Caenorhabditis elegans: one gene and its partners. The protein of the gene in region 4 interacts with the protein of the main gene of each other region in a pairwise test. Each region holds a gene or a part of one and is shown on either strand. Other genes may lie near its edges.

Region 1 (7,759 bases), on a different chromosome or scaffold from region 4:
TTTTCTCCGAAACTGAGATAATTTTCTTAAAAATTCAGCTAAAATTTCAATTTTTCATCCAAAAAAAAAAAACTCACTCAAAAACGCCTTTTCTCAATTCTCTCCTCGTCCACGACTGAATCGGCATTGCCCGGGAACATCCAAACTGTGAGACGCTTGTCCTGCGCATCGGTGATTTATCATACAAAAAGTAAGTTCCATTCAATTGTCTCCGTCTCCTCGGTATCAATTCTTCTCCAGCAAATCGTACACCACTCGACGCATTCAACACTACTTTCTGACTTTTAAGCATTCCCAGTAAAGCCTGCTTCTCGGCAAGCAACACCTCAGCCCGGGAGAGCAATCCCGCGTATCTCATCCGTTTCGGAGCCCATCGTGGCACATTTTTCGGCGATTTTCGGTGTTCCTCTGCCTCGTCATTCAAATCATCATCCAAATCACTTATATCAGTTAGTTCATCCATATCATTATGCCTAATCCTCTTCTGATTCAAATCTCTAATCCTTTTCACAAATGTTTCCCGAGTTCTATCGGGCTCCGAAGAGCATTCTATCAACGTTTGCATTGAAAATGGCATTCCCTCAGTGTGAAGTGTTCCTCGATGCTTCCTGAGTAATATCGATGTCTGTGTATGCGAGAGACCTTCAGTTTGTGGTAGTAAATGCACATAATCCGGTCCACGAGACTTTATTATTCTATCCACCAGAGCTCGTCGTCGCGTCATCTCGTGATCCTTTCGACCGCTTCCACCCAATGGAGAAGCTAACGAGCTCGGCGGTCGACTTGTCGATGTGTTCGGGGCTCGTTGAGCTCCAGGAGGAAGATTTCGGAAGGATAAGGGATTCGTGAATTGACTGTTGGATTTGTTGCGACCCATTAGGCTTGGTGATGATGGTGCAGAGTCTCCAGATGACATTCTCCTGCAAAAATTGACACAATTTTCGCAGCCTTTGGGTTTTTTTTCTCGTATTAGAAAATTCAAGAAGCTTCACAGAGGCCGGTAGTTTTTATGAAATTTATTGTAAAATTTCAGAAAATCGCAGATTAAACTCATAATTCTACACGTTTAAGAATTTTCGATCATTTTTGGTAGATTTTAATTCTCAAGAAGTGGAAAATGCTTTTTAAAAATGCGCGGAAACCAGTATGAAATTGTTTTTTTTTGCTATAAAATTTCTTAAAACCACATTTTTTCAGAAATCAGCGGATTTTGTGGAATTTAATGTAAAATATAGAAAATCGAAAGCTTTTCCAAAAAATCAAAATTTTTTTTGAAATTACTGTCGACACTTTTGGCACTTTTTTAAACATTTCCGCAACAAAACGGCTATTTTTTTTTTGAAAAAAAAAACTCACTGATATCCATTATGCAAATTTCCAGCAGGACTCAACAGCACCTGCGTATTCGTGTTACTCGGCGGTCCCATGATAATTGGTGCTCGCTGAGCCACACGAATTGTCGGTTGTGGATAAGGTTTTTTTCGTGCTGTTGTACCGCCGTGGGATCCATTGCTTGATGGTTGTTCAGAGTCGCGGAAATTTGTTGAGGTCTGGAAATTAATGAGAATTCACGAACAGCCGGTTTAAATTTTGAAATACGGCTTTAATTTAAAAAAAAGGATTTCTCAGGTATTCTCTTGATATTTTTTCAGCCATTTTTTAAATGATTTTCACCAAAAACTTCGAAATTCAATTTTCATCATGAAAATGTCGAAATTTGTCAACGTTTTTACTCTAAAAATCAAGAAAAATCCTTTTTTTAACCTATTCGTGCAGATATCTACAGAAAATAATGAAATTTTCAGAGTTTCAGTCATTTTTATTATTAAAAACCTCGATTTTTAAAATTCTACAGGTTTTCCATGAATTTTCGCAATTTTTAAAATTTTCTCCGAAAAAAATTATCAAATATTCAATTTTAATCTATTTTTACAGATATTGTTGGAAAATTATGAATTTTTTCATAGTTTTTCAAGAGAAGTCGCCTAAAAAGCTGAAATTGAGCAAGTTTTCGAGATTTTTCACAAAAAACTCACCAAATTCGGCTTCGTGTACTCGTTGACATTTATGTGTAACGGAGAGAGTGTTTGACTGGTTGGAACACCGACAGACGTCGATGCGACAAATGATGACTTTAGTTGAGCTTCTGACGCTGCAGCGGCGGCCTGAAAATTGAGAAATTGAGAAAAACAATAGGAAAATCGATTAAAATGTGCATTCATACATGTTTTTAATAAGTTTTTTTTACAAAATCGTTTTTAAAAATCTATTTAATGGAAAAATTAGTTTCAAAACATGTTTCTAATATATTTTTTCGACTAAATTAAATTAAAATCATGTTTTGATACATTTTATCGAGAAATTAGGTTAAAATCATTTTTAAAATTCTTTTTTTTTGACAAAATTGGTTGGAAATCATGTTTTTAGATTTTTTGGACAAAATTAGATTAAAACCTTTTTTAATCCATTTTTTCAACAAAACTAACTTAAAATTTAATTTTTATTTTATTTCTCCACAAAATCAGTTAGAAATCCAGTTTCTAGGGTTAAAAAACGCCAATTTTTTACCTCAATCTCTCGTTCATCGTCATTTGTATCACGTTGCTCAACAAATTGCGATAATCCTCCTCCATTTGAAGAAGAAGACGACGCATCGAACAATGAACGATCATGTTCCATACCAGGGAACGAGTGATGTGAGGCAGGAATTGTGCCACCTATTATCACCATACAATCCGATGGGATACTTCTGCTGATGTTGCTCGTATTTGAAAACGTTGTTGGTCCGAGGTTTTCCTTCAATTCTGATATGGATTAGAGGACATTTCACATGGAAAATCCGTGAAATTTCAGAAATTTTCAGTGGAATTTAATTTACCTGTTCTTGTCGAACGCTCATGCATTATTTGATGGTCTTCCCATCAACTTGTTGCTTGGAATCTTCTGAAAATTCGATTTTTTAAAAATGATTTTTGACAATTTTGAGCGGATTTGTGAGAGAAAATTCGATTGAAAAAAAATATTTTTACATTAAAACCGTTGAAAAAACCAATTCTTTTTGATATTTTTCAAAAAATTCCAATGAAATTTGGTTGTTTTCAACAAAAATATAACGGAAAAATGGTAAAATAGCAAAACTTTTATATAAATAGGAAAAATTTATAAATTTTGCGATGAAAAATCTCACAACGAGTTTTAAAAAACTTAATTTCTGATTTTAACAAAGTTTTAATTGAACAAAACAACAAAAATTCTCGAAAATCCGCCGAACTATGGAAATTAACTCTTTTTTATCTAATTATCGTGAGAAAACCGCGAAACCCGGGCAATTAGAGCAAAATAATGCGGTTTTGCGCCATTTTTCACAATAAAAATGAGACATTTTACGGGGAAAACGCTTGAAATTCGATATTTTTGTTTGTTTATAATTTTTATGATGCAACTAAACTTCACGAATCAACTTGATCAATCAATTTATCCGTTTTGGGATGAAAATTCCGGGAGATAAGCGAAAAATTTCTGAAAAATCGATAAAAATTCACCCGGAGGCGTGAAAAACAGCACGGATCCATCAGAAGATCCCTGGCAACGTGCCAACTCGCACGGCGTATTTCGAAAAAAGCGCGACGAGAGAGTGTGTGGCCGTGAGAGACGCGCGACACTCAGACAGTCGGAGAGAACGCCATCTCTTATGAGAGGTTGCGAAAGTCAACGGGTCTCGCCGCGAAGAGACACTTTTGTGTCGATTTACGAAGTGAGAAAGCCCGCGGGAAACTTTTTTAAATTTTATTCTTTTATTTTCGTCGGAATTCCTTCATTTTTTCTCATTTTCCACGCAAAATCGGTAAATAAATTGATTAAATATCGTCTTGTTTCGCGATTTTCAAGGTTCAATGGCGTTTTCAACTCTTTAACAGTTTCAGCATGGTTATGGAGGACGTCACGAATGTCAATCGCAATCGGAGATACATTTCCGACGGACTTGCTGTCGTTAAAATGACATTTTGTAAGAGTTTAACCGAATTTTCGCTTGAAAGTTCCCATTTTTCAGTAAAAAACATGCAAGAAATCAGTACTGCGCCACGCTACGAACCAGAGATGGTCTATCAGCATTTCGGAGATGAGGAGACAATCTTCGGCTACGAAGATCTCGAGGTTACCATCCATCACACAGCTCAAACCCTCTACAGCTACATAAACGTGAGCTATTCCTCAAAAGCGAAAAACGAAAACGGACTGGAGGCCGATGACGTCATTGATAAGCTGGTTCATCCAGACGTTCGTCCGAATGTTCTGGTTTCGGGAAAAGAAGAATTCCAGCAGAAGCTCATCAAACAGAAGGATTTCAAGCCTTTCGGTGAGATGGTACACAAGTTTGAGCTGAAAGGAAAGAGCTACGAGGTCTACAAAGTCGCCGAGCAAACCGAAGAGTTCAACCTTTTCCTAGAAAGAATCCAGACTCTCGGCATGTTGTGAGTGCTTAAAAAATAAGGATTTTCCTACAAAATTTTTTTTTCAGCTTCATCGAGTGCTGCTCACTGACAGATAACACTGAAGACAATTGGCTTCACTATTTTATGTAAGTTGAGAAGATTTCGCGGCGAATTCCAGAAATTACAAAAAATCGAACGCATTTCAAATATTTTTCAATTTTCCAGCTACGAACGCTGCGACACCGGTGAAGGAGATGGAAGTACTGTGGCCAACGTGGCTGGCTACGCGACACTCTTCAAATTCTACAACTACATTGACAGGATCCGTCCACGAATTGCACAGATGCTATTGCTCCCTCAATACAGAAAATCTGGAATTGGAGCCAGTTTCATGGAATCTTTCCTGCGAGATCTTCGTGCCTCTCCAGAAGTTTTCGACGTAACCGTCGAGTCTCCCGGAGATCAGTTCGTCAGCCTCCGTGACTATGTGGATTGTGTCAACTGCATGACACTGCGGGAATTTGCACCGGAGAATCTCAAGAGGGGATACTCGGACAAAATGCGTCAGGCCGCACTGGAAAAGCTCAAGATTTCCAGACAACAAGCCCGTCGAGTCTATGAAATTTTGCGTTATCGTGCTACAAATAAGAAGGATAAAGAAGAGCTGAAAGCGCAGAGAATCGATGTGAAACGTCGGTTGTATGCACCAATGAAGAAATCGGATCAGGACTGGAAGCGTCTGAATCTCGCGTTGACACCCGATGAGCTTCGACAAGCGGCCTGTGGACAAATGGATGAGGAAACCAAGTTCTCGACGCTCTCACAGAATTATGATCGGCTTATGGAGGCCTATCAAAAAACTATTGATCGAATTGAGCAGCATCCAAGCATTTTTTAATCGTTGTATCTGTATCTTATTTTAATTTGAAATTACATGTGGGATTTTTGTATTTTTTTTAAAGCTAATTACCACGAAATTCGTCTAAATTTGCTGTAAATTTGCAAAATTCCCTTGCCGTTATTACCCATACGCGAAATTTTGCGCCAAAAGTACGGTATCCGGTCTCGAAGAGAAAAATGTATGATAAATGCGAAAAAGTGTGCGCCTTTAACGATTTTTATCAGGTTTTCATAGTTTTTCCCAGCATTTGTTAAAGTTTTTTTGGGTTTTGATTGTGATCTACGAAAAATCGACGAAAATCCGCAATAGCAAAAGTTTGAAGCTACAGTACTCTTTAAAGGCGCACAAATTTTCGCGTTTAACAAACATGTTTCGTTGCGAGACCAGGCACCGTATTTTTGGCGTGAAAATCGCTTTGGGTCCTATTTGACTTATTGTGAATGTTTCATGAATTTTTCCGCTCTCTAAACTCTCAGCTAAAAATCGAATTCCCAGTTGAAAATCCCGAATATATTTTTATCTTCTTATATATTATTCTTCAATTACAAAAAAAAAACTCACCGAAATAAATGATCTCTCACTCTATCCCAGCAGAATGGACGAATTCTCATTTCCATTTCAACCATACGACATTCAACTCAATTTGATGCGAGAAATCCGCCAATGCATTGAACAACGGAAAATTGGCATTTTCGAATCTCCAACAGGCACCGGAAAGTCGCTCAGCGTGTTGTGCTCGACGATGACGTGGCTGGAAGCTGAAGAACTACGAATTTCGACTGATTTGAGCACACGGCTCGGGGAGGTTCACACGAAAATCACGGAATGCGATAAAATCACCACCGCCGACAATTGGGAGACGGCAGTTCGTGAGAAAATGCGAGCTCAAGACGTAGAGACGGAGATTTTGGAGCAAATTCAGAGTCGGGAAAGGTGTTGGAAATTGAATAATTATTCTTTTTTAATTTTTTTTTAAATGAAAAAAATCATTCAGATTGCAGTCACGAATCGATCAAGCCCGGCGAGGAATGGTCGAGGTCTCCAGAAAGAGAAAAGCCCCGGCCAGGGATACGGATCAGTTTCTCGAACCTCAAGATGTAATAATTGAACTTTTATCCGGAAATTCACATGTGGCTGACCGTTTTTTCGGAAAATTTCAAGATTTCTGACTAGAACCTGGCTTTTTTTTTCTGGAAAAACCTTGAAATACGCAAAAATTCCAAATTTTTAAATACAAACCTTCAGTATTGCTAATTTTTTGAGAAATGTGAAAAAATGTTAACAGTATTATATAGCAAGATAGATATAGAATAGATTCCACAATATGAATAGATACACAATAGAATAGTTACATAGTAATACATAGAATAGACACTTGATGCCTCACTTTAAAGGCGCACGCTGTTTTCTGAGTGGGTCTCGCCACGATCCCAGCCACAGTAGTCGCTACAAATTTGAAGTTTCATAAATTGAATATGCCAGGTTTTCAAGAAAATGTTATTCTAGAAGTTTCTATTATAGAAATAATACAGAAATATCAAAATTCAAAATAAAATTTCCAGGAAGCCGCCCCATCGGAAGAATACAATAACGACGAGAAAAGTGAGAAACAGCGGGATTCCGATTTTTTCGATGATGTCGATGAAGAAGAGGAGAAGCCACTGAAATGTCTGAAAGTACAGAATTTATTTCAATATTTCGGAAAGTGCAATCGCGCTCCATAGCCAAATGAAAGTGCAATTCAAACTTTTTCAAGCATTTTTGTGACAGTAACTGTATATCATTAAAAATTGGAAAATCTTGGGTTTTACCGCCAATACCTAACGAGACCCATGTTTCGGGGGCAGAGCGTTTTTATTTTTTATTTGGCTATGGAGCGCGATTGCACTTTCATCTCAAAAGTCGCATATAGCTGTCATATTATTACAGGAACAAAAAATTCTTAGAATGCGTATTGGGCAACATATTTGACGCGCAAAATATTCCGACGCGAAAACTACAGTAATCCTTTGGATGACTACTGTAGCGCTTGTGTCGATTTACGGGCAATATTTTTGAAATTAATTTCTTTTCAAAAAGTTACAACGGCTCTCAATTTTCTTTAATTTTTCGTTTTTAAAAATCAATAAATAAAAGGTTTTTGTAAATCGACACAGGAGCTACAACAGCAATTTAGAGGATTACTGTAGTTTTCGCTTTGAGATATTTTGCGCGTCAAATATGTTGCCCAATACGCATTCTCAGAGTTTCGTGTTACCGTAATACGTCTTTTTTTTTTTTAATGAAAGTTGTCTGAAAAAAATAATCGAAATTAAGTCGGAGAATTTTCAATTTACCGAACAAATTTTTTTAAATGAAAATTTGGTTTTTTTGTAAATTTTCAAAACTGCATTAAAATTTTTTTAATTGAAAACTGAAAAATCAA
Region 2 (7,516 bases), on a different chromosome or scaffold from region 4:
ACTGAAATTTTAACAAAATCCAGAAAAGATCTATTCGCCTTTAATCACACAGGTAAAAATCTCTGAAATAACTATAGTAGCAGGTCAATCTATCAACTCCCAATCATAATTTTGGCATTGCGAATAAACAATGGCCACCACGTAAACTAACAAACCAGTGCTAAAACGAGTGTACTGTATCAAAACTGATAACAAATTGTGCTACCCGATCACTTTCCTCCCCACTAACTCCTTGTTCTGCTACTGATTACCCCCAAATGTCCTCCACAAACACAGACACAAATTTTATGTGTTCACCCTTGCCAACAGAAGGTGTTACAAGTTTATGTATGTATATATGTCTCGATGGGTCCATTACCTAACAAGATGGTATTCAAATGCTCGGTTGCATAACAATCTGCTCACTTACTCCATGTCCTTGGCGTCTGCGTCTATAACACTTCACACGCTCTCTCACTGCCCAGTATCAGATGAATCTTTAAGTTGCGCCACCTCGACGACTTGTGTATGTCGCACCTTATAATTTGCGGATTAGCCGACGCACATTTTGTATGGAAATACTCTTGGCGGTTAGCCTTTTTTGGCTGGCTATTGTCCGGTACTTATCGTACTCACATCTTTATGCTCAACCTACTTGAAATAATCCTTGTTTTGTATATGAGCGGAGTAGTTGCAGGTGGTGATGGAGAGTTTTGCATTGTATGAGATAATTAGGATATTGGCACTTTTAAACACGGGTTACTGTAGCAGAGGCTCCTATATTTTGGCAACACCTTTTTCCTAACTATCTTATTTTTTCTATTAGCATTACACCCAATTGTTTGACTTTGAAAGCTTGTATCGGCTTTTTTCGTTGGTCCAATACAATTGATAACTCTAACTAGTTAGGTGCATACCATTAAAAAATACGGTATTTGTAATTACATTAATACAACCTAAGATACCGATTAGTATCAATTAAACGGTTCAAAATCTCATCGGGCCTGTCACCATGTGCCGTCAAACGAAACATGAGGTGGCATAAGGTGAAACTGCACCCCCACACACACTTCTCGATAATTTGATTTGACGTGGCAAACTGATGAATGAATTTGATAAGCAATATCCGTTTTGTATAGTTTGAATATACATATATACACTATGTATGGGTATCTAATTAGGATAGAAATGAAGACGACATGCTTGAGATAATTATATGGTTTGGCGGGAGTTCAAAAAGTCACCGAGTTAAACTAGGGTTTTGGTAATTAGGATAACATTTGAATAATCTTAGCATAGTTTTCAAAATGTTCATTTAATTGTTAGTATCATTATTTGCCCAAACAACAAGTAGCTTTATGTTGATTTAAATTATGGTTTTAATGGTTTTTATTCACAGAAAAGTAGGCATAGGTCGTCTTTTTAGAAATTCTATCTAGTCCAAAGGAGCCAGGTTATATGGAAAAATGAGGACTCTTGGAGGCTGAGGAACTCTGTCTGTGGCTAATATTCGCGTCCAGTTATATATCCATCTAATTTAGAAAAGTTAGGAAAAGGTAAGTTACGGTACTTTTCCTATTAGTACTGCACCCCTTCTGCTCTACTTTCAGATCTCTTATCTCGGCTGCTTTTGGTTTTATCACGAAAATTTCAACAGTAGAAATATTTTTCATATATGTTTCTATGATTTTACAGTTGAAAATGTTTTGTTAAAATTGAAGACAACCGAGATATGAGCTGCCAAAGTAGAGCAAATTTGGTGCAAGACTAATTGAAAAATTCGGTATGTTTTCTACTAAAAACCTAGTCTTCTGAACCCTGATTTTTTGTTGGATTCATGACATTTTGCAGACTAGTAACTCTGCAGCAGTCTTGTCACTTCCCTCCCTTATCAATTTCAGTCTTTTAATCGGCTCAGCAGCTTCTGCGGTCTCCTTTCATCTTACTGTTTGCTCAATTGATTAATGTGATTTTAACTTCAAAAATGCTGACGATGGACATATATATTTTCGAATTATTTACGACATAAGCTCTTTCACAGATAATGAAACAAAGAAAAAAAAGAAAAGGGAAGATCAGTTGAAGAAATGAAGTTGTGGTACCACGTGCAGGAGGATTAACAAAAAATTGATTATTGATTGCACGATTGAGATCAGGGGAAATGAAGAATGCTGAAAGGAATTGAAGGGGAACGGAAAAGGAACAAGAGACTAGAAAAGGTTAAGCAAATAGGAAACAATTGTTAAAAATTAAACAAGGAAATTGAGTGTTCTTCTAAGCGCTCAGTTTATCTGAAACTGCCGAAGATCCATTCTCATTTGGTGAGGAGCTCGATGAAGTTCTCTTCTGGCCAGAGCTGACTGGAGCATCCATTGGCATTATTCTCGAAGCCATCATTGACAAGAGCTTCTGGCTATCAATATTTTGTGGAATGAAGAACGCTGGCATGTTTGGAACTGCTCTTGGATTCATTGGATGTCCCAGCATGGGAATGTTAGCCATCGGGTGCATCATTCTTGGAGGAAAGGGCATTCCTTGCGGGAGGAATGGAGGGAATGGCATCGGATGATGGGACATCATTTCGTGATATGTGTCACTGTTTTTCTTGTATCTGAAATTATTAAGTGTTTGAATTGAAAATTTATCTCACTAATTCCCTTGTTAACCCCGAAAGTTTTCTTTTCCCAGGCTTCTCCACTACCCTCGAGGGTGCGATTAATGACAACAAATTGGTGACAAATTATCGAAACAACTGTCTTTTCCCTCTCTTCACATCTCGTATGTGTGCTCACCCCGCCGCCGGCTACTACTCCCCGTCAGGTTGTAATACTTTCTCCTGTGCTCCCCTTACCTCTTCCTTCTGCGCAGAAACGATCCATTGTCGAACATATCCTCACAGTTCGGATCCAGCGCCCAATAGTTTCCTTTTCCCGGATTCCCAGGCCCCCGAGCCACCTTCACAAAACAGTCGTTGAGGCTTAGGTTGTGACGAATCGAGTTCTGCCAGGCGGGGAACTTCTCCTTGTAATACTCGAACTTATTGATTATGAACTCGCAAATTTCCGAAAGTGTCAGTTTCTTCTCCGGTGAATTGAGAATTGACATCGCGATGAGTGCAATGTAGGAGTACGGTGGCTTTGCGTGACTGCTCTTTCGGTGACCAGACATTGATTTTCGACTGCAAAATTATAGAGTTACAGTTGTTTTACACAGTACATATTATTGTACATATCACTGTACATATTATAGGTATATTGCTCTACCTATTTCTCTACTTTGACAGCCAATATCTAGGTTTTTATTGGTCTCATCAAAAATTGTCAACTGACAAAATGCATGTAAATATATCTCTACATTTTTACAGTTAAACTTTTTTGGTAAGATTTAGGACAACCGAGATATAAACCGTCAAGTTAGAGTAAAGAGAATGCAAGTCATACAGGGAAAATACGGTAGTTGAACAATGTCTAATAGACTTAAAAATATCGGAGATCAAAGTTTCACAAAAATTGAGCATACAAACTTTTTGTATAAAAGGACCTAAAAGGTCGAGGTCGAGAAAAATCGAATTTCTTCTAAGATTCCTAAGTTTTTCCCAAGTTCCCAACTTACGATGTAGAATCATCATCGTCGTCATCATCCTTCGCATCATCAGATGAGCTATCTGCAGCACTTGAAGTTGAATGATTTCTTTTGTTTGCCTTCCGAACTGGAACGCCGTCTTCATCTTCCGTGGGCTCGTCTCCAAGAGACCGACTTCTTTTTCGGGACTCCCCAAACTTCAAATCATGTTCAAGAACCGACGCAGAAGTTGATGGCTCGGAGAGCCGTGTGTTGCTCCGCGGCAGATCAACCACTTGCTCATTGATTGTCACTTCCGGCTCTAGCTTCGGAGGTGGCTCCAGTTTTGGCTTGGTACTTGATAGAATTGATTCCATGGAAAAGAGCATTGTTACCGGTGTCTACCTAGTTAGTTTCTGCAAGTAAGTTGATGAAAAAATTATGAAAAAAAGTAAAACATAAAAAAGATAAGAAAAGCTAATATTTTCATAGCGTTATCAAAATTCAAAGCGAAATCGTAAGATAGAGATGGCATCGCGAGACACCAGACAATAATAATTATTAATAAAAATGTTATAATCGGATAGAAGGGGGAGGAGAGTAGGGGAGTACGGTAATCATGGATGAGGGAGCACTTGAGGGAGTACGGTAGGTAAGGGCAGATGATACCAATCCATTGTTGGCGAAACATTGAAACATACTAATGATTCTCAAGAGTACGTGGGGGGATAATAAGGGTATATCATTCTCATATTAATATAATATTTGTAGTACTATGCAGGGGTCCGAACTCGGTACTAGTAAGCTGTCAAAAAAAAGAGCAGGAGGAACACGAAAAGTTGAAAAGCAAAGCAAAGCTATCACTTTCAACAATATCAGTTATCTTAGTTAACACAAACAACATATCAAGTGTCTTCTAGCAGGATCAAATGAAAACGAGAGATGAGCTTCCAAGAGAAGAACAATTGAAAAATGACAGAGTGGTGTGGGAGCATCAGGAGAGAGAAAGAAAGCTCCGAGATTACTGTAGATTTATGACGGGCGGACATGTGTTAGCGCAAACTTTTTTTGTGTGTGTAGGTATGTGTTGAAATGAAGAAGTCGAAAAAAATATATCAAAAGCAAGTTGCGGACGAGGACTGGGAGACAAGTTGTAAATGATGAAAAGCACGGAGGTGGTTTTTTGGAAGAGTACATACAGTACAGGTTTCAAGATTTTTGATTCTTCAGTTTTTAAGTGGAACTTTAGGATTTGAAAGGAGCGGGGCATTGATTAGAAGTTTTGGCACAAAAAGAGAATAGTATCAATATGAGAAGCAATTAAAAAATTTAAAAAAAGAGTTTCACCTCTTCTGCTCAAAATATTTAAATTTCAATTTAGGTACCAGTTAATTTTTTGAAAAAAAAATTCAGAAAATGTGAGCAATTCTCTAAAATGGTGAAAACTCTGTAAAAAATTCAAAACTATGCGAATTTGTAAACCGGAAAACCCACTATTTTCCTATTTGACTTGCATGCACCTTGCTCTTCTTTGACAGCTTATATCTCGATTCTCTCTGGTTCTATCAAAAAATTGTCAACTTACAAACTATGGAAAAATTATTTTTCTACATTATGACAGTTAAAATTTTTTTGATAAAACTTGGGACAACCGAGATATGAGCAAAATGAATGCTAGGGAAAATACGGTATAATTTTTTTTAAATAAAAAACTTGCAAAAATCGAATAAAATTTGTTTCAAGTTTTTGAATGTTTTATGTAGTTTTGAAGCAAAAGTTTTAATTTGAATGGTGAGAAATATTAATAATCATAAATTTGACAGTGATGAACAACAGATAAAAATTTTCATTTTTTGAAACGCGGCGTTTTGCCTCTTTTGGCAGAAGTAATATTATTGGTAACCAATAAAAAGTATTAGATAACAATTTAGATTTAGAGTTTACGGGATTTATAAGGAGCACAACAAGGAGCACAACAACAATAATAACAATAATAATAAAGACAAAGATCAAGTGAAGCACAAGAAATCAGGTGAAATAGGTACAGAATGATACCCAACCTAAATCCAACTATTAGTTCTAATAATAATATTTTTGCCTGATCCACTGATTCTTCCGTTTTGGTGTCATAGTCACAAAAAGCGAATAAACGAAAGAAAACACCGGTAATTGGACCGCCCCGCCCCACGCTCATTGGACACGCGGCTCCGCCCACACGCTCGCCCCTCCGCCGCTCGAAACTGAGAATCATCACTGATGACAGGGTGAATTTAGAGAGAGAGAGAAAGAGAAAATGATACTAATATATAATAATTATATCATTGTGATCAACCACTACTCAGATCTATGTAGATCATACTCAATTTTAAATCGACTAATTCTGGGTGGCATTCTCCCAATTATCAATTTGTAAATAGAGAATAGACAATCAAAAGACAAATATGTTTTCGTTAAAGAACCTGTCGGCAAATTTATGAGGGAATCATGAGGTAATCCAACTTTCTCGGTTATCAGCTAGGTGGTAACTATTACAAAGGCCACACACAAATAGACACACAGGCTCGGTTGAGACGGTCATTTCATCTTTCTGATAAGAAGATTGGCAGTGGGAAGGAACGCATTAATTGTGTGTGTGTTACTTAATAAATGTTTATGGGGTGCCGGTGGTCTTACCACGAAAGTTTTGCGATTTTGTTCCTACTCGGAAGACTGAGGTGTTACGTGAAGGGGAGGATCCTCGCCCCACTGGCTCCCAACCAAAAGTATGCGTGCAAATTTACGTGGGGCGTTTTCCGGGAAAAAAGCGGTCGTCAGTCGTGCCTATAGAAATTCTAACAGTGACAAAAAATAATCAGAGCCAAAATAGAAGAGTAGCTCCTCGAATAGCTCTCGAATAGCATAAAAGGAACTCGAATAGCATAAAAATATGATCGCAAGTAACTAAAGGACGCGTTTTCCGGCGAGACATGAGACCAGTTGGGCTCTTCGATATTCTACCCAAGGTATTTTAATAAATAATTAGAACCATTTTAGACAAAAAGTACAAAATTAGCTTCTAATATTCAAGCCCTGATCAAATCGGCAGGTGCCATATAACATCGGCGTAGACGTAATGAACACTGATACTTTCCTAATGGACAGGCCTACCTCATACCTACCTACACCCAAAGCTTGTTGAACATTGTGCTCAAAAACCAACTTTTTTTTTTGCAAAATGACTACAAACAAGTTTTTCACGTGTTTTTATATTTTTTTCACAAAACCAAAATCTTGAGTTATTTTTTATTATTTTTAGAATTGAAAGAACTCAGAAATCAGGTTAACCACTCTAGGATCAGTTTTCAGTAAAATGTTCAAAATCACCCATGTTTGAGTAGCAAAAGTTCAAACCCAATTTCATTGCCATTTGCAATTACCCCCTATTGAATGAGACGCATTATTTCAGGACAGAATGATAGCGGTAATCAATGGAGATTGGCTATAAATTTGGGTAGGGAACTGCCCATCCCCCCCAAACACTAGTTTATTGTTATTGCACTTGTTATTGGGGGATCAGGTAAAACTTGCAAACGACATTTCTTCTAAAACTGATTTCCGCTGGACTTTGCAAAGCGAAAAAAATGATGAGATGATGGGGAGAGTGCTCAGAGAAGTGACAAGAATCTCAGGCAACAAGTGTGACACGCGTCTTGTAGGACTTGTTTAAAACAAGTGAGAAACAATGTGTATGTATTTAGATTTAAATCTGGGTAGATGTTGAACGTATGGTTAGTCAGCTGGAAAAATTGGGGATGATCTAGGATGAGTTGTTCAAGAGATACCACTCACTTTCAGTTTTTTTGAAGAAGATTCAAGAGATTCACCCACCGTATATTCTCTATTTGTACTGCACTTGACTACTTTATTTGATAGGTTATATCTTTGTTTATTTTGAAGATATAAATAAATTATCAACTAGGAAATGATTTAAAAAAAG
Region 3 (10,134 bases), on a different chromosome or scaffold from region 4:
AAATTTCAATTCCGGCTATTTGTCGATTTGCCGGAAATTTCAATTCCGGCAATTTGTCGATTTGCCGGAAATTTTCAATACCGACAATTTGTCGTCGATTTGCCGGAAATTCAAAATCCGACAATTTGCCGGAAATTTCAATTCCGGCAATTTGTCGATTTGCCGGAAATTTCAAATCCGACAATATGTCGATTTGCCGGAAACTTTAATTCCGGCAATTTGTCGATTTGCCGGAAGTTTCTATTCCGGCAATATGTCGACTTGCCGGAAATTTCAATACAGGCAATGTCGTTTTGCTGGAAATTTCAAATTCGAAAATTTGTCGATTTGCCGAAATTTTCCATTCCTGCAATTTGCCTATTTGCCGGAAATTTTTAATTACGGCAATTTGCAGTCGATTTGCCGGAAATTTCAAATCAGACAATTTACTGATCTGCCGGAAATTTCGATTCCGGCAATTTGTCGATTTGCCGGGAATTTGCCGGAAAAAATCGTTTGCCGCCCACCCCCATGAACAATCATCATCTTCAAACTCCGCCCATCCCACCTGATTGGTTGAAAAGTGGGCGGAGCAAATCGCTGATTGGTCGCAGTTTTAATTTTGGAGGGAATTTAGCTAAATTTAAAAATTTCGTTTTTTTGTGATATTCAGAAGAATTCGAAAAATGTTCAATTATTTGAAACTTTCTGCACTGTTTTTTGGAATTTTTCATAAAATTTCGGTTAAATCTGCAATTTTGAGAGTTTTTTCCTCAAAATGATGGGAATTTTTCAAAATGTGCTGGAAAAAATTACGAAAAATTCCAAATTTTCTCTAAAAATCAAATTTTTCGGCACTTTTTCTAGAAAAAATGCGTGATTTTTGTGGCCTGATTGCCATTTCCGATTCGAGTTTTTTTTCAAAAAAAAAAAAAAACTACGTGCAGCGGCGAGCAGAACAAATAAATAATAGTGAGTCATTTTTCGAAACGACACAAATAAAATCTTGCGGTGTACTTGGGCTCTTATCAACGAAATTTTACAGAAAAAAAAGAGACCCGTGCTGAGGAAATTGGCCCGATTGGAGCACAGAAACGTCACGATTACAAAAAAAACTAAAAATTTAAATTTTCCATGGAAATCGATTTTTTGTTCAAAAACAAGAATTTAAATTCATTTTTCTTTTTTGTTGCAAAATTGCATTTTAAATCATAATTTTGAGCTAAAAACTCACTTTACATTGGATTCGTTCCGTTTTTTTTCTATTTTTTTCCTTTTGAAGTATCCAAAATTTGATTTTCCTGTAAAAAATTCAATTTTAAAGGAGAAAAAACACATTTTTCAGTTAAAAAACCATTTTTGTCGATGGAGCGCACTTACTGACTTAACTTTTTTTACCTCAGAGAAGCAGAAATGCGAAACTTTTCGTACAAAAAGTGAACTAAAATATCGAAAAACGCAGGGAATAAATTATTTTTATAACTTTAGAATTTAAAATTTTCAAAATTAAATCATATTTCTAGATTTTTGCGTCTCGAAACGACTTTTAACCTTTTAGCTTCCATAAACTCTCGAAATCGGGGAACACGGAATCACAAACTAATTCGACAAAATGAGAGTTTTTAAAAGGAAAGGAGTTTTTTTTTGGCCTTTTTTAAAACAATATTCGGTTACGTTTACCTATTAGAAGAATATTCATACAAAATCCCGACTGACCAAATTACGCAGGAATCAGGCAAGAAGCCGACTGGATTTGATACTTGCCTAAGGTGATATTTATACTCCCTTTTTATCAGCAAAATTTTTTTTTTTGTAAATAATTGAGTGTCGATTTTGTACTGAGGAAACGCGCCAGCACTAAAAGTTCGGTAAATTTGGCAAATCGGCGAATTGCCAGTTTGCCGGTTTGCTGGAAATTTTTAATTCCGGCAATTTATCGATTTGCCGGAAATTTTCAATTCCGGCAATCTATCGATTTGCCGGAAATTTTCAATTCCGGCAATCTATCGATTTGCCGGAAATTTTCAATTCCGGCAATTTATCGATTTGCCGGAAATTTCAATTCCGGCAATTTGTCGATTTGCCGGAAATTTACAAATTCGGCAATTTGCTGGTTTGCCAGAAAATTTCCATTCCGAAAAATTGCCGGTTTGCCTAACTTGCCAGAAAATTTCCATTCCGAAAAATTGCCGGTTTGCCTAACTTGTCAGAAAATTTCCATTCCGAAAAATTGCCTGTTTGCCAAACTTGCCAGAAAATTTCCATTCCGAAAAATTGCCGGTTTGCCAAACTTGCCAGAAAATTTCCATTCCGAAAAATTGCCGGTTCACCTAACTTGTCAGAAAATTTCCATTCCGAAAAATTGCCGGTTTGCCTAACTTGCCAGAAAATTCAATTATGGCAATGTTGCGATTATCGTTTTGAAATTCTGAAATTTCCAGAAAATAAACTTGCAAACCCACAACTTGCCGAAGTGTTTTTTTCCGGCAAATTGCCGATTTGCCGCACTTGCCGGAAATTTTCCTTTCCGTCAAATTGCCGAATTGCCGGAAATTTCAATTCCGGCAATTTGTCGATTTGCCGGAAATTTACAAATTCGGCAATTTGCTGGTTTGACAGAAAATTTCCATTCCGAAAAATTGCCGGTTTGCCTAACTTGTCAGAAAATATCCAGTCCGGCAAATTGCCGGTTCGCCGAACTTGCCGGAAATGTTCCATTCCGGCAAAAATATTTAGACTACAAGGAGAATAAATGAATAAGAACACATTTTCAAAAAGTACAACCATCGGATAAATTCCATAATTTATTTAACAACAGATTCTTTATCATCATTATCATTTTGTAACAAACACAAATTATCAGCAACAAAACGGCACAGCTCTTCCAAATCCAAAGTTTTATTGTTTTTAATTAGTTGATCTAACATGTCTTTAGGAATTGAGGTGACTAGGGGAGCAGCTTTTGGTACCGTTTGCTTAACATATTCGTCTGCCAACTCGGCAAGTTTTGTCTCACGATGATGCTCCTGTAATAAGTTATTTTTAAAAAAATATTCTGGAAAAATTTACAATTTTATTGGGAAATTCTAAAAAATGAACTAAAATTACATGATTCGTCTCGAAATAAAATTTTTTTCAACTAGAACTTTAGGCTAATTTAGGCCAATTTTTGAGCATTCTCCCCAATGTTTCAGTTAACGGGATTTTCTTCATTTTGACTGTTTCAGGTAAGAATTTATATAAACGAACATGTTCATGTGCAGATATTTGATACAAATGCTGTCTCCACTCCATTTGCTGCTTTGCTCGGATTTTTCGGGAACCTAAAGTCCCAATTACTCCGTTTTTTAGACGTAGGTCTTCAGCAGCTTTTTCAAATTCTTCTCGAGCACTGGCGAGCCTCTATAATTTGGTTAATAATTTTAAAATTGACTTTTCAAAAGAAAAAGTCGGAAATTCAGAAATTCCACAAAAAAAGTTTAAAAACGGGATTTACAAACTAAGGAGAACTCCCCGACCAATCACCATCTTTGAACTACGCCCACTCGATCTGATTGGTGGAAAAGTGGGCGGAGCAAATCGCTGATTGGTCGCAGTTCTCAGTTTTGCATTTTTGAAAAAACTCAAACTAAAGTAGGACTTTTTTATTTATTCGCTATTTTTTTGACAAATCGGCAAATCGGCAAATTGAAAAATTCCGGCAAATCGGCAAATTGAAAATTTTCGGCAAAACGGCAAATTGAAAAATTCCGGCAAACCGGCAAATTGAAAATTTCCGGCAAATCGGCAAATTGAAAACTTCCGGCAAATCGGCAAACTGATGGAATTGAAAATTTCCGGCAAATCGGCAAATTGCAGGAATTGAAAAATTTCCAGCAATTCGACAAATCAACAAATTGCCGGTATTGAAAGTTTCCGGCAAATCGGCATATTGCCGGAATTTATAATTTCTGGCAAATCGGAAAATTGCCGTTATTGAAAATTCCCGGCAAATCGGCAAATTGCCGGAATTGAAAAATTCCGGCAAATCGGTAAATTGAAAATTTCCGCAAATCGTCAAACTTCAGGAGTTGAAAATTTCCGGCAAATCGACAAATTGCCGGAATTGAAAATTTCTGGCAAATCGGCTAACCGGCAAAATAAATTTTCGGCAAATTGGTCACTTTTTTTTTGAAATTTAGAGAAAAAACCTACATGAAAATTCAAATTAACAGTTTCATCCTGTGCAAACATTTCAGCAAACTTCTTATTCAATTCCATTTTCTCATTTTCATATTCCAATTTCAGCCGTTCTACTCCAATTTCTGACATCATTTTTCTCAAATCCACTGCAAAATTCGCATTTTTCTCTTTTATCGCCGTTTTATTTTTGAGAAGTTGAATGCGTTTTTTGATTTGATTACTTCGAATTTCCGCATGCTTTCGTTGATCTTTTTTCTTTTGAACACACTTTCGGGCGTACTCACGGTTTTTGGCCATTTGACGGTGACGTTCCTGAATAATTTGGATTTAAAATTGATATTCTTGCCAAAGTTGAAATTTCCGGCAAATTGGCAAATTGCCGATATTGAAATTTCCAGCAAATCGGCATTTTTTGTCGAAAATCAAAATTCCGGCAAATCGGCAGTTTTTTGCCGAAAATCAAAATTCCGGCAGATCGGCAGTTTTATTGCGGAAAAGCAAAATTTCCGGCAAATCGGCATTTTTTTTTTGCTGAAAATCAAATTTTCCGGCAAATTTTTTTCGGGCAAAATTGGGAAATCGAAAAATTGCCGGAATTGAAAATTTCCGGCAAATCGGCAAATTGATGGAATTGAAAATTTCCGGCAAATCGGCAAAATCGATGGAATTGAAAATTTCCGGCAAATCGGTAAGTTTCAGGAATTGAAAACTTCCAGCAAATCGGCAAATCAGCAAACTGCCGGAATTTAAAGCTTCCGGCAAATCGGAAAATCGGTACATTTTCGGAATTGAAAACTTCCGGCAAACGGCAAATCGGCAGTTTTTTTTTGCCGGAAATCATAATTTTTTGCAAATCGGCAAACCATCAATTTGCCGATTTGCCAAATTCGTCGACAAAAAAATTTGCTGAGCCCCAATTGCTATCCTGATTTGAGTGAGGCTTTTCAGAAAAATTTGGAAATTATTTTCAGATATAACAAATCTTTTTCTACACTACAAAAAATAGGCGTTAGGCGGGCATGTACATCTAACCTAAATTTTGTACTAGAAGTTGTAAAAAATCCACACAAACCTGTTCTCTCTTGTCCATCTTACTCGGATCTTTATTCAATTTCTTAAATTCCTCTTCCCACTCCAAATCCCCATCTGTATCCATCTTTGAGTAGCCTTCATTGTAATTATTATCAGTGTACTCATCTTCTATATCATCCAACATCTTCGCCTCTACTTCTTGTTTTATCTCCACTGGACCCATGTTTTGCAGTTGGCTCATTAAAAAGTTGAATACAAAGTTCTGGGAGCCTGACGATTCATTGTTATCTGACGACTCGTGTTCCAGCTTTACCGAATTCTGGTTGTTTTGCGTGGAGTCAAAGTGTTTTAGAATCATGTCACGACTGCCACTTGTTTCGTTATTCATTCTGTAAAATTTGGAATTTTTTGGTCTTGTCTGAAACTTTCGGGCCAGGCCCAATTGTGCATTTTAAAAAATTTTTCGCATCGTCTTTCGCTTATTGGTTCCTCGTCTTTCGCTTATTGGTTCGCGACTGTTTTTGTAACGAACTTATGAGAAAGTTTGCTGATTCTTATCAAAACACTAATTTTGCCGATTTGCCAGAAATTTTGATTTTCGGCAAATTGCCGATTTGCCAGAAATTTTAAAAGGGATTTTTCAACATTAATGTAGGAAAAAAGTTTGCCGATTAAAATTGAAATTTTGAAATTTCCAAAAAAAAAGTGCAAAATCATAATTTGCCAAACATTTTCGGCAAAAGGCGTTTTTCCGGAAATTTCGGCAAATCGACAGTTTGCCGCTTTTCCGATTTGGCGGAAATTTTTAATTCCTGCAATTTGCGGATTTGCCCGATTTGCCGGAAATTTCAATTCCGGCAATTTACCGATCTTCCGGAAATTTTAATTCCGGCAATTTGCCGATTTTCCGGAAATTTTCAGTTCCGGCATTTTGCCGATTTGCCGGAAATTTTTAATTCCGGCAATTTACCGGTAATTTTTAGGTCCGGCAATTTGCCGATTTGTCCGATCATCCGGGAATTTTAATTCCGGCATTTTACCGATTTAAAGGAAATTTCAATTCCGGCAATTTTCCGATTTGCCGGAAATTTTAATTCCGGCAATTTGCCGATATGCCCGATTTGCCGGAAATAGTTAATTCCGGCAATTTGCCAATTTACCGGAATTTTTTAATTCCGGCAATTTACCGGTAATTTTTAGGTCCGGCAATTTGCCGATTTGTCCGATCATCCGGGAATTTTAATTCCGGCATTTTACCGATTTAAAGGAAATTTCAGTTTCGACATATTGCTGATTTTCCGGAAGTTTTCAATTCCGGCAATTTGCCGATATGCCCGATTTGCCGGAAATAGTTAATTCCGGCAATTTTCCGATTTGCCGGAAATTTTAATTCCGGCAATTTGCCGATATGCCCGATTTGCCGGAAATAGTTAATTCCGGCAATTTTCCGATTTGCCGGAAATTTTTAATTCCGGCAATTTGCCGATATGCCCGATTTGCCGGAAATAGTTAATTCCGGCAATTTGCCAATTTACCGGAAATTTTTAATTCCGGCAATTTGCCGATTTGCCGGTAATTTTTTATTCCGGCAAATTGCCGACTTGCCGATTTCGCCAAACGACAATTGCCACCCACCCTGTTTTGGACGCGAGATATACATACACGTCGCCAGCAACCGGCAATTGCCAAAGTTTCTGCAACCGGCAGCTTCTGGTTGCGGAAACTTCGGAACTTCGGCAATTTGGCCCCTAATGTAAGAGCCCTGATGCCCATCGTGAACTCACTGATGCATTCAGGAATCTACAGTAATCATCAAGGGCGGAGCTTGATCCTTCCATATTTTCCTAACCAAAATTTCAAAACATACCTATCCCCAGTTCCTTAGATTCAAAATCGTCGTTGTCAGTCAAAAAAAAGGCAAGAGACCAATGGTGGGGGAGACAGTGTGTGTGTGTGTGTGTGTGTGATAAGAGAACACAACTTCTTGCTAAGAAGAGTGAAGACAGTGAATGCATGATGTTTGCCTGCATCATGACATCGTTTGATTGTATTGAATAGAGGAGGAGGGCAGCATCAAAAAAATGAGAAATAGTCAGAGGAAAGATGTGAGAGCCTTAGAGAAAACAGAGTAGGAAATACTGTGCGACATACTTGGTATCTGAGCAGTGGTTGAGACAGTGGGGGGGGGGGGGGACAGTGAAGGTGATTAGCAAGATTGATAAGAGACTGTTGATGGGGGATGGGCACTGATTGCTGTAATTTCCAATACATCGCAATTGTACATTCGATGGATGTAAATGCAATTGACAGATTAATTAGGTATTATATTGTATAAAAATGGGTTGGAAAGGCATATCAAAAGCTGAAAAAAGGTATCTATAGAAACCCATTCCAAAACCAAATTTCAGAAGCATCACGTGGTGCTAGGCTGTCCCATTACGGTTTGATCTACAAAAAATGCGGGAATTTTTCGCCCAAAAATATGTGACGTCAGCACGTTCTTAACCATGCAAAATCAGTTGAGAACTCTGCGTCTCTTTCCCCGCAATTTTTGTAGATCAAACCGAAATGGGACGCAATGAAGCATTACAATGAAGCATTACAGCGAAAAATGAAAGATAAATCTTTCCAGGACATGTAGCAAAAGCGGTTCTGTGGCTCGAGAAAGGTTTGAAAAAATGAAGAACAATGTATTCTTGAGCAGAATCCATGTAATATTTTGGTAGTTGAAACCCTGATTTTAGAATTTATCCAAATGAATTCTCGGAATTTTCAGTTTTAATAATATAATTCATTAGATTCACAGTGAAGTGAAACCTGATTAAAAAAGGATTAAAGGACGAAATATAATTTTTGTCTGAAGCCTACAGGAAAAATGTTTCATTGTTGAAGTGGAAATTTTCATTTTCGACAATTTGCCGGTTTGCCGGAAATTTTTGTTTTAGACAAATTGCCGATTTGTCGGAAACGTTCAGTTCCGGCAATTTGCCGATTTGCCGGAAATTTTCAGTTACGACAATTTGCCGATTTTCCAGGAATTTTCAGTTCCGGCAATTTTCTGATTTGCCAAAAAAAAATTACGGCAATTTGCCGAGTTGCCATTTGCCGGATATCAGATTTGCCGGAAATTTTTAGAGGGGTTTTTTTAAAGACGGAAACACTTAAAACTGTGCCTTTTTGAAAAATTCGTTTCCTGTTATGTTTAGATATTTTCATAGAACTTGCTTTTTTATTTTGACAAAAATTTCCGGCTATTGCAGTTTTTCAATCCGGCAAATAGACGATTTGCCAATTTGCCGATATGCTGTAAATTTTCAAATCCGGCAATTGCCGTTTTTCTGGCCAATTCGGCAAAAAGACATTTTGCCGATTTGCCGATTTGCCGGAAATTTTTAATTCCAGCAACTTGCCGATTTGAAATGTGTTTTCCAAGTCTACATTTAATGATAAAGTATAGAAAAGTATTTGATTTGATTGAAAACAACTATAATTTGGATTGGAAAAACTGAAAAAGTGCTGAAAGTTTATCTGGAAGTTGAAACTGCTCGAAAAAAAATGTAAACCTTTAAAAAAATTTTCGAGGACTTTTCAGTTTTTTAAATTTAAAGGGTGAAGTAATCTTTAGTAGTAGGAAAACTAGTTTTCAAAATCTTTCGTTTTAATAGGAATTTCAATATTTTATAGATTGACCAACCTAAAAAAGCTTTTTTTCATCAAGTTTTATTATCATATTGCATCCAGTTTTCCAGTTTTTTTTCTAGAATTCACTAAATTTATCAAAAATAGCGGCCCATGCAAATTTCCGGAAAATCGGCAAGTTGTCGGAATTGAAAATGTCCGTCAAATCGGCAAACCGGCGAATTGCCGATTTGCCAGAAAAACGGCCAAATTGTGGTTTAGCAAATTTTGTTTTGGAAATTTCAGAATTTCAATTTTGATTGGCAAAATTGTACACACCCTAGAAATGACCCTTCATCTATTTTGGAAAGTCCGTAAATTCTATGAATATATCTGAAGAAAATGGGAAACAATTCTTTAAGGCACGGTTTTAAGTGTTTCCTTCTTATAAAAAATCCCTCTACACACTTCCGGCAAATTCATATTACGGCAAATTGTCAAACCGGCAAATTGCCGGAATTGGAAATGCCCGGCAAATTGGTAAATCGGCAAATTGCACCTGTGAAAATCCTGAAGTTTCTGAACTTGTATGTTCACTTTTCTACTCAACTCACTGCCCATTCCAAATGCAAGTAACAAGTTGATGCCCCAACAAATGTGATAATATGATACCTAACTGATAAAAGTTGAGAAACAATTTCTCTGCTTGTCTGTCACACAATAATCACCGCGTCTTTTGCCCCAGTCTTTCCTGCTAAGATAGACATGTTTGTCCGTTTTTATGTGGTGAAAGTACATGTTTAATCAAGAGACACAGACATTCTAGACGTGATGATAAGTCAATGACGTGTCACTGTGTATAGAAGGAGTCTTCTGAGCAGTTTCGTTCATGATGGCAGAGCAACGGAATTGATATTGTTGAACGAAATGCACAAAAGGGTCGGAAAACTGAGTTGCATCATGGTTTGAGAGTATGAAGGAATTTTCAGATTTTTAGGAAAAAAGTAACTCCAAATTGAAATTACATTAATTTGAAAAAACATGAAATTTTAATTTCCAAAAAATCAGCCAAGTTATAGCGTTTTAAAACTGTCTAAAAACTGTTTTTTCAAACAAAAAAAATTAAGGTGGAGTAGCACCTAGGGCTCCCACGGTAGGCAGGCGCGGTTTTACGGCCTGACGCCTGCCTATCGGCAAATTGCCGGTTTGCCAATTTGCCGGAAATTTTCAATTCCGGCGATTTGCCGATTTACCAATTTGCCGGGCATTTTCAATTCCGAAAATTTGCCGTTTGCCGAAGTTCAATTTGCCGGAAGCTTTTAA
Region 4 (7,502 bases):
CTGCGTAAGAAGACATATATGGTGGCCTGGAATCCTCTTCGTATGGTGACACCATCTTCGTTCTCGACTTCAGAATCTTCTGATTTGAAAACCTTCAGAAATAGTTTCAAATGCAAAACGTGGAGGCGGGGCTCTGACTTAACGCTCATTATCATGATGATAAGTGTCTCGTATTGTTGGGAAAAAGTGAGGCGGTTTGCTGCCAATTGTACCTTAGTGATAATCAAGAGGGCGCAACTGAAAAAGCATAATCAAATGACTTCTTACCACACCTATAGGTGGTGCAAATTTATATTAAATATTAATAGCCTCGGAGTGAGAGAAACAATTTTTTTTCTAGAATGGAATGTGTGGAATTGGTTTGTGATCTGCGTACTAAAAGTGTGAAATAGAACAGTGTTTTAGGTCAAGCGGTTTAGAGTCTTTACGTCATTAGAAAAGAAGTTCCTTTTCAAACAATTTTTAATGGAAAATGAGTTAAGCTGATATAATCGGTAAGAAGATACTGGCACCGGAAAAGGCTGGCTCGTTGAGCAAAGCACAAACATAACGACAATGAGAAACAATTGAACGACATAAATGACAGACAAAACGTGCGGGGAAGTATTTAAAATCATAATGATTTGGTATTAAAGACAAAGATTTAAACATTTTGAAATTCAGCTAATACATTGTGTACAACAATTTTTTTTGGAATACGTTGATGTTTTTTTTACTGAAACTAACTTGGAACTTGTTTTTTTAACATGGTAAATATGTAGGATGAAAAGATGACACCAATTTAAAATCCAAAGTTAGAAAAATATCTTCCTTACATTTTTTTAACAGTTTTTTTGCGACCAGCCTGCATAATATTTTTTTAATATTGCAGAAAAGCTACACTTTTTTAGTTTCAGTTATTTAATTGATTTGCTTTTTTCTATGCTCCAAATTTGCTGGTCAACTCATTTTGACCATTTTGACTAATTTTTCGATAGCTTTATTATTTCTAGTTTGTTACTTTAATTCCTATTTCAAGTCATCGTCAACAATACTGACCTCCAAAGAATTGAATTTTCGATGATTTTACTATAACCTTTCAAAGAAAAATATATTGTCATCATACCCGTACAAAACTTGAACTTTTAACCATACTACACACTATTTCCCGTCAAATGGAGTTATCATCGAATTCTTCAAATTTCGACGCCGTTTTTTAATGTGACAATGAGCTAGAGGCTTATCACGGATTATTTATAGAACGCTGTGCATCAACTGATAACCGAACAGACTGAAATATTGATGAATGGGTCTAAATATGAATTGGATTTTCTCCCTATTTGCACCAAGATCGACTGTAATATGTGTAGATATTTTATTTTAAGTTGCTCTAAATGACCAGAGAGTTTAGACCAAAACGACTAAGAATATATAAATTGAGGAACATTTAGGAAAAGTAATTTATATTATTTTATTTATATTTCTTGGCATAAAATGTATTTAAATAAAAACAGTCCGTGTCCAGTTTTGAGAGATTGCACCGATTTTTTTTCTAATTAGAAAAGTGGTTTATATGTAGAGATTTTTGAACTATGCAATGATTGCAGTTGATCTGATAAATAACACACGAGTAGTCCGTGTTTCAATTTGCTGTTAGTCTTTCTGAAAACGTGGCAATTATAACCTTGAAGGATCTTTAGTGCCAAAAAACCTTTGTGTTGCTCCCCTGTAGAACACAAACTAATTGGTAATTTTTTGCTTAACAAATAAAGTTGTCATGCTCTTTAGAGGCCCAACAAAAAGGAGGGCTGATATGTGCAATTGTGGTTTTGAAAACTTTGCAGTCACGCACGGCCTGAAATTCTGGGGACAACGGGCTCACGATGTATTTAAAACATTGACGAGTTAGCTTCTTGTATTGTTTAAAATTATCCGTCTGCAACATATTAAACGATTTTCAGACATTTCCATCACCGAAAAGACATATTCGTATTATAATAGATACTGATTATCCGTAGGTAATGATAATTTGATCGTCAACGCCCTAAGGTACATCGTTGAATCACTTTTATTCATGTCTAGTTTTGATATGGAAAGTTGTTCAACTCATCATAAAGTTACGATTACCAGTGATCCAAAAGAAAGTGTGTCACAAGGTTATAACTAGAAGTGTAAGTGGGTCTGTGAAAATGTTATTTTTCTGAGAACAAGGCCATGTCCAAAGGGTTTGCAACTAAATTCAGACGGTACGCAAGATTTGAAACGTACATATCTTAATTTTCTGGAAAATTTGCTCTCTTGGCTTTAGTTTCCAACAAAGTTGGGATGGTTGAAGGCATCCACGTTTATGAAGATTTATAGAAATTTTCCAAAAAAAAAAGTGATAATCCTTACAACTAAAATTAAAGATTTAATCTCTAGAAGTAATCATTTCGCAAGTGTCTTTAACATACGAAACCCAGTCAATATCTCCATTTGCTCGAATGCTGACATGATTCAGAAATTGCTTAACTTCTTGTGGAGTCAATGGTTCTCCAATTGAAGTGAGCAATTGCAATAATGTATCTTTTTGAACATAATTATTAGATGTTATTACTTGAAATGCAGCATGGATTTGTTTCGGAGTATCATCTTTCCATTCTTCATTTTGAATTGCCAATACGACACGGGGCAGAAGGTCATCGAATGAAACTCTTCCATTTTTCTTTGCAGTTTGTTCACTGACCAATTGCAATTCCGTTTGACTGGGGTTCAATCCAAAGCTTCGGAGAACGTGACTCACATCGTCGGTCTGGAATTTCAGTTTAAGAAAGATTTAAAAGATTCAGTGGAGACATTTTAAAGATTCAGTGGATTTAAAAGATTCAGTGGAGGTCCATAATAGCCGAATATCATAATAAAACTCTCCAAAAAGTATTTCGACTTTTGAAAAATTTGAGTCAGTTTTTACCAAATTTTTCAAAAAATGTGAACTTTTTGAGATATTTCATGCATTGGCGCGGGTTTGAATCTCTAAACTGTTACAATAAAAATAACCAAAACAATACTAGAATATCGAAAACAAAGAAAACCTATAGAGATGCAAATTGAGTTTTCAACGAATATCAATAAGAAATTTTCAGCTATAGGTACAACTTTTATATTGACGACGCTCCTACTAATTGGAAGAGCCAGGAGAAACATTTAAGAGTTTATGAAGTATGAAAAATAACTTCATGCACTCGAGGCGTGTTCGCCTCTTCACTCACCCTACTGAAGGGCGCGAGGAAGGCGAGTGGGAAGGCGGGAATAGGCTCCCCGTGACGCCTACACTAGGTGGAATGTCTATTTGATCCGGTTCTTAATGATATAAATGAGTAGAAAGTTGGAGAAAAGCACCACGTGAAAAGCCAAGTTTCAACAGTAACTACAGTAATCCTCACTTCAATCAAACCATCAGAATCCTCGTCAAACATCTTGAATACATCGAAAAGACGACGTCGAATATCTTCTGAACTTCCTTTTTTGTTTAAATTGGACAAAATATTACAAACCAACAATTACAGAATCTACTTCTTCTTTTTGGCTCTCATTTTCCCCTTCTTCTTCAATGTTTAATAAATCTTCATCTTCGCTCAGATCCATAATTTAGCTGAATACTAATATAATGTAGATCGCTCTAGTTGTTGCGCGAGTTTAGTGGTCTTTTCTGTCGGAAATATACGTTTTCTGGTTGAATAATTTTTATATTAAATACTACAAAAACGGAAATTGAATTCTAAAGCATGACAAATATAAAAATGAAGAGAAAAATTGAATTAGAGAGACAAAGAGCAAAACAAGTTAAACATATGACAGAGAACATTTGGAAGGTTTAATGAAAAGCGACGAGCATCCTGATTTATGAAGGTGTGGGTCGGTAATGGTTCATATTGGGAGAACATCGAAGTGATTAAATTTTGATTTGCCAGTGAACGACAAAAAATGAATAAAACAAGAGAAATAGAGAATAGGGTAGACCCGGTGAGGATTTGTTTTTTTTTTCTTAACTTGGAGCAATAGAAAAGGAGAAATTTAGATCAGAAATGGAGGGCAACGAGACCATTGAAAAGTACACGATTAGGAGAAGAATAAAATTTCTCATAGAGAAGTGAGGATCACGGACGGCCAATAGGCAGTGCTGGAGGAGGCATCAACTCGCGATCCTTGTCTTCCTGAAAATGATAATTTTGCTTTAGATCAAAAGGATCACAGAACCGTAAATCAAATTACATCTTTAGAACATTTTGATTCTATGTCTAAACTTTTCAAATATTACCTTGGCTATATTCCTAGAAGCTTCCTCGTAGAGATCATCATCAATACATTTTTCAGGTTTTAACTTCTTTGGGCGTCCTCGCTTTGGTCTGTCTTCTCCATCACCATCAGTAGATGCTCGTTTTAATCCTGTGAGACGTTGTCCTTCAGAATCTTTTTTCGAGTATTTGAGCATTCCTAGCATACCATTTACGAGTTGAGTTGTCGGAGTGCTAGGAGAAAGTGGTACGGTGGCTGTGAGTTCTTGAACTACTGGATAATTGGATGGAATCCCTTGAAGATAAAGTGGAAGTGGTGCTGCTGGGGATTGCGGATCAACTAAATAAGGAGAAATAGTTCCATCTTCTTGTTTCAATGCTTGTTGATCCATTTGCATCATTTGCATCTGCGCATTGGCAAGAATTGCACTAGCAAAATCTGAATTTTGTTGCTCTTGGAGCATTTGCTGTCCTCTCAATGTCATGCCGGTACGTGCAGTATTCAATTCAGATGCTTGCTGTGGAAGTGCAACATCTTTGAAGACTGATTCTAGAAATGAAAAGTGTGGAGTGTTGAGAACCGCCTGCTTCATGTGTTGAGGGTTTAGCGTCTTTGAAGATGTGAATTGAGTAGCTTCTGCGGCAGCCTCAAATATATATTCAAGGTTCAAAATAACTATGACTGAGTCTTCTCACCTGTAAAAACTTCTCCGCAAAATGCTCCATTGCTCTTCCGATGCTGACAGGAACTGACTGAACCATTCTTCCGATATCCTCATCACTTTGCATAACCTTCTTTATGCGTGTTGGCTGAATTTTTGCAGTGCTGAAACGACGTCTTCGGATCACAGCAGCTGCCTGTTGCTGCTGTTGGTTGCTGCTACCTGTTGATGATGAAGCACCGGCTGATGAAGTGGATGCCAACGTTGACATTTTTTCTGAAAAATAAATTTAAATAACGATTTGATCCTAATCTGTTAATTCTTAGATATTACATCTACAAATTGTTTTAAGTCGCATATTTTTTGAAGTTTCTAGATAGTTCATGATCCAGAAATGATGCCGGATACTGACGGTTTTACCCAAAACAAATTAAGGGTTTTTGAAAATAAATAAGCTTTCATTTTAAGATTTTATGAATGTACGTTTTCCGATTATCTATAATCGAGTTTCTTTTTTGTTCCATCCACCCTAAAAGATAAGGTCAAAACTAACGAGTAGCCGATGCATAATTGACGGGTAACATCGGCACCGCAAAGCCAACATCGCTTCCTCTATTCTGATCCATCTTGTTTTCTCCTCTCTCGAAATATGTATTCTCTGGTTTCCTTCCAAAAGTGTCAGTGTCTCCGACGGAAACGTTGCTGACGAGAGAAGACGATGTTGTGGAGATTTGGAGGCACAAAATGAGAGAGAGAAAGAACGAACAACGGGTGGTTTTCGAGAGATATAGAACTATTCCGAAGACGTCATCGATGATGGGCCTGAGACTAACTGAAAGTTGGAAGCTACTGTATAATACTCTTGAGGTAAAGCGATGAAATGAGAGATTATTGAACCATGAAAGAAGGACATGATGTTTCATTCATAGAAGCTCTCTTAACAACTTTGGAAAAGACATTTAGAGCCCATGAATAATCAACGCAAACTTTTTTTTCTAAAATTAATGGTCACTATTTGATATTGATTGGAATTATTAAAATATTCTGTGCTCAGTAACAAAGGGATTCAGATAATTAGATTTTGTTATATTTCATTTCCCGTTAGAGCAACTCCGTTTCGCAACAAGTGTGTTATGTTCTATATGTTCTGTATGTACACAGCCGTTCGGGTCTCATCGATCACTATAACAATATAGATCATCACATCAGTACAACAATTGATAACAAAAAAGAGGCGTGATGGTATCTTCCTTTTTTCTATTTCTCGCTTTCATTTTGGTTATTTCATTCTTTAATGATAACGCCATTTATTCCATTCTGCGTCGTGTCGATTCGATTCGATGTCAACGCACACACACACACTTACACATCTACTGGCCAGGACTGGAGGAGAGCGCGTAAAGACGAGTGATTGAGCGCTTCGGTGAGGAGACGAGAGAATCTAAGGGAAATAGTGTATAAAGAGGAGATAGAAGGGGGAAAAACGGAGAATAGGAGCAGAAAGGCGCTGGCCGATCACACGCAGACCTCGCGTTCTTCCCTCCTTTATATACAGCGGACAAATCGGTGATTCGCAGGTCTGCGCGACTACGGTACCCGCTGCTTGTTCTGCGTCTCCACGTGTCGTTTCACTACCTTTTCCCCCTTTTATTTAGCGTGCGCCCGCGCCGCGCCGATGTTTGAGAGTCTTTGATGCAGCTGTACGGGCCGAGATGAGAGGGAAGAGAAGATGAGAGAAGCAGAGAGTTGAGGGAAAGAACATAGACTCCTCCTCCGCATACTCGATTTGTATGTTTTTGTGTGGACAGACGGACAGATGGATAGATGGCTGATTTGTCAGCTTGCCGTCGAATTATTGATTGTTCTTTTGTGAAGCAAAGTCGAGATATTGAAATGATGAAATTATCTTAACTGTTCAGTATTTGCATAAAGAATTATTGAACGGATATTTTTGCAATTGTTGCCTATGAGGTGATTGAGATCTTTTTGCGAATTTTTATTCTCCAATTTACTAGAAAAAAAACTTAGAGGCAAATTTGCGCAAACATTTTTAAGTTCAGACCAGGATGGGCGGCAAAAGAACATTTTCGGCAAATATATTGATCGACATTGATCAAGTTAAAAATTTGGCCAAATGTCTTGTGCACATTTAAAATATTTTGAAAAAAATCTACAAATGAAAGAAAATTTAATTCGTACAGCAGTGAAGTTTTTGTGGCAAAAGATTTATCTAATTTTTCTTTGTATATTAACTTATAAAAATTTACAGATTTTCAGATTTTCTTCTTGGATATGAACATTTTTAGAGAATTTTCAATTTCCCAGCAATCGGCATTTTTGGAAATTGATGAATTGATGAACTTTCGATAACTCAGTATTTTCCGCAATTGTTTAACTGTCAAAATAGCGAAATTGGAATTGTCGCCCAGCTGGTTCAGACTACTTAGAATTAATAGAAAATGTGATATCTTTTCAGAAAAAAAAATCAGAAATTCAGTCGACGATTGAATTCAACATTGTTTTTCGGAAAGAACGAAATTGAACACGAATTTACTATTTAATTATGCAGAGTTTTTTAGTTTATCGA

Evidence for each region.
Region 1: the proteins of drap-1 (region 4) and hat-1 interact in a two-hybrid assay, tested with the Caenorhabditis elegans proteins (one large-scale study listed by BioGRID).
Region 2: the proteins of drap-1 (region 4) and unc-130 interact in a two-hybrid assay, tested with the Caenorhabditis elegans proteins (one large-scale study listed by BioGRID).
Region 3: the proteins of drap-1 (region 4) and zip-12 interact in a two-hybrid assay, tested with the Caenorhabditis elegans proteins (one large-scale study listed by BioGRID).

The regions. Positions count from the first base shown.
Region 1 is NC_003281.10:10,403,407-10,411,165, reverse strand, and holds hat-1 (Histone acetyltransferase type B catalytic subunit), read left to right. Parts: upstream 1-3,917; 5' UTR 3,918-3,924; coding exon 3,925-4,006; intron 4,007-4,051; coding exon 4,052-4,472; intron 4,473-4,519; coding exon 4,520-4,579; intron 4,580-4,658; coding exon 4,659-5,331; 3' UTR 5,332-5,918; downstream 5,919-7,759. Other genes in the region: M03C11.3 (PH domain-containing protein), read right to left, coding at 78-920, 1,357-1,550, 2,037-2,165, 2,569-2,804, 2,879-2,903; ATP-dependent DNA helicase chl-1, read left to right, coding at 5,930-6,267, 6,329-6,431, 6,897-7,010.
Region 2 is NC_003280.10:11,278,408-11,285,923, reverse strand, and holds unc-130 (Forkhead box protein unc-130), read right to left. Parts: upstream 3,959-7,516; 5' UTR 3,930-3,958; coding exon 3,592-3,929; intron 3,158-3,591; coding exon 2,831-3,157; intron 2,591-2,830; coding exon 2,254-2,590; 3' UTR 1,965-2,253; downstream 1-1,964. UniProt on the Caenorhabditis elegans protein: Probable transcription factor. Binds to DNA sequence motif 5'-CTGTTTCA-3'.
Region 3 is NC_003281.10:12,324,912-12,335,045, reverse strand, and holds zip-12 (BZIP domain-containing protein), read right to left. Parts: upstream 7,380-10,134; 5' UTR 7,100-7,379; coding exon of another isoform or gene 7,061-7,099; intron 5,583-7,060; 5' UTR 5,582-5,582; coding exon 5,234-5,581; intron 4,474-5,233; coding exon 4,174-4,473; intron 3,382-4,173; coding exon 3,229-3,381; intron 3,006-3,228; coding exon 2,784-3,005; 3' UTR 2,772-2,783; downstream 1-2,771.
Region 4 is NC_003283.11:9,730,204-9,737,705, reverse strand, and holds drap-1 (Transcription factor CBF/NF-Y/archaeal histone domain-containing protein), read right to left. Parts: upstream 5,748-7,502; 5' UTR 5,542-5,747; coding exon 5,469-5,541; intron 5,192-5,468; coding exon 4,950-5,191; intron 4,901-4,949; coding exon 4,277-4,900; intron 4,173-4,276; coding exon 4,116-4,172; 3' UTR 3,684-4,115; downstream 1-3,683. Other genes in the region: aqp-4 (Aquaporin), read right to left, coding at 2-55; cal-7 (EF-hand domain-containing protein), read right to left, coding at 2,390-2,770, 3,402-3,469, 3,513-3,603.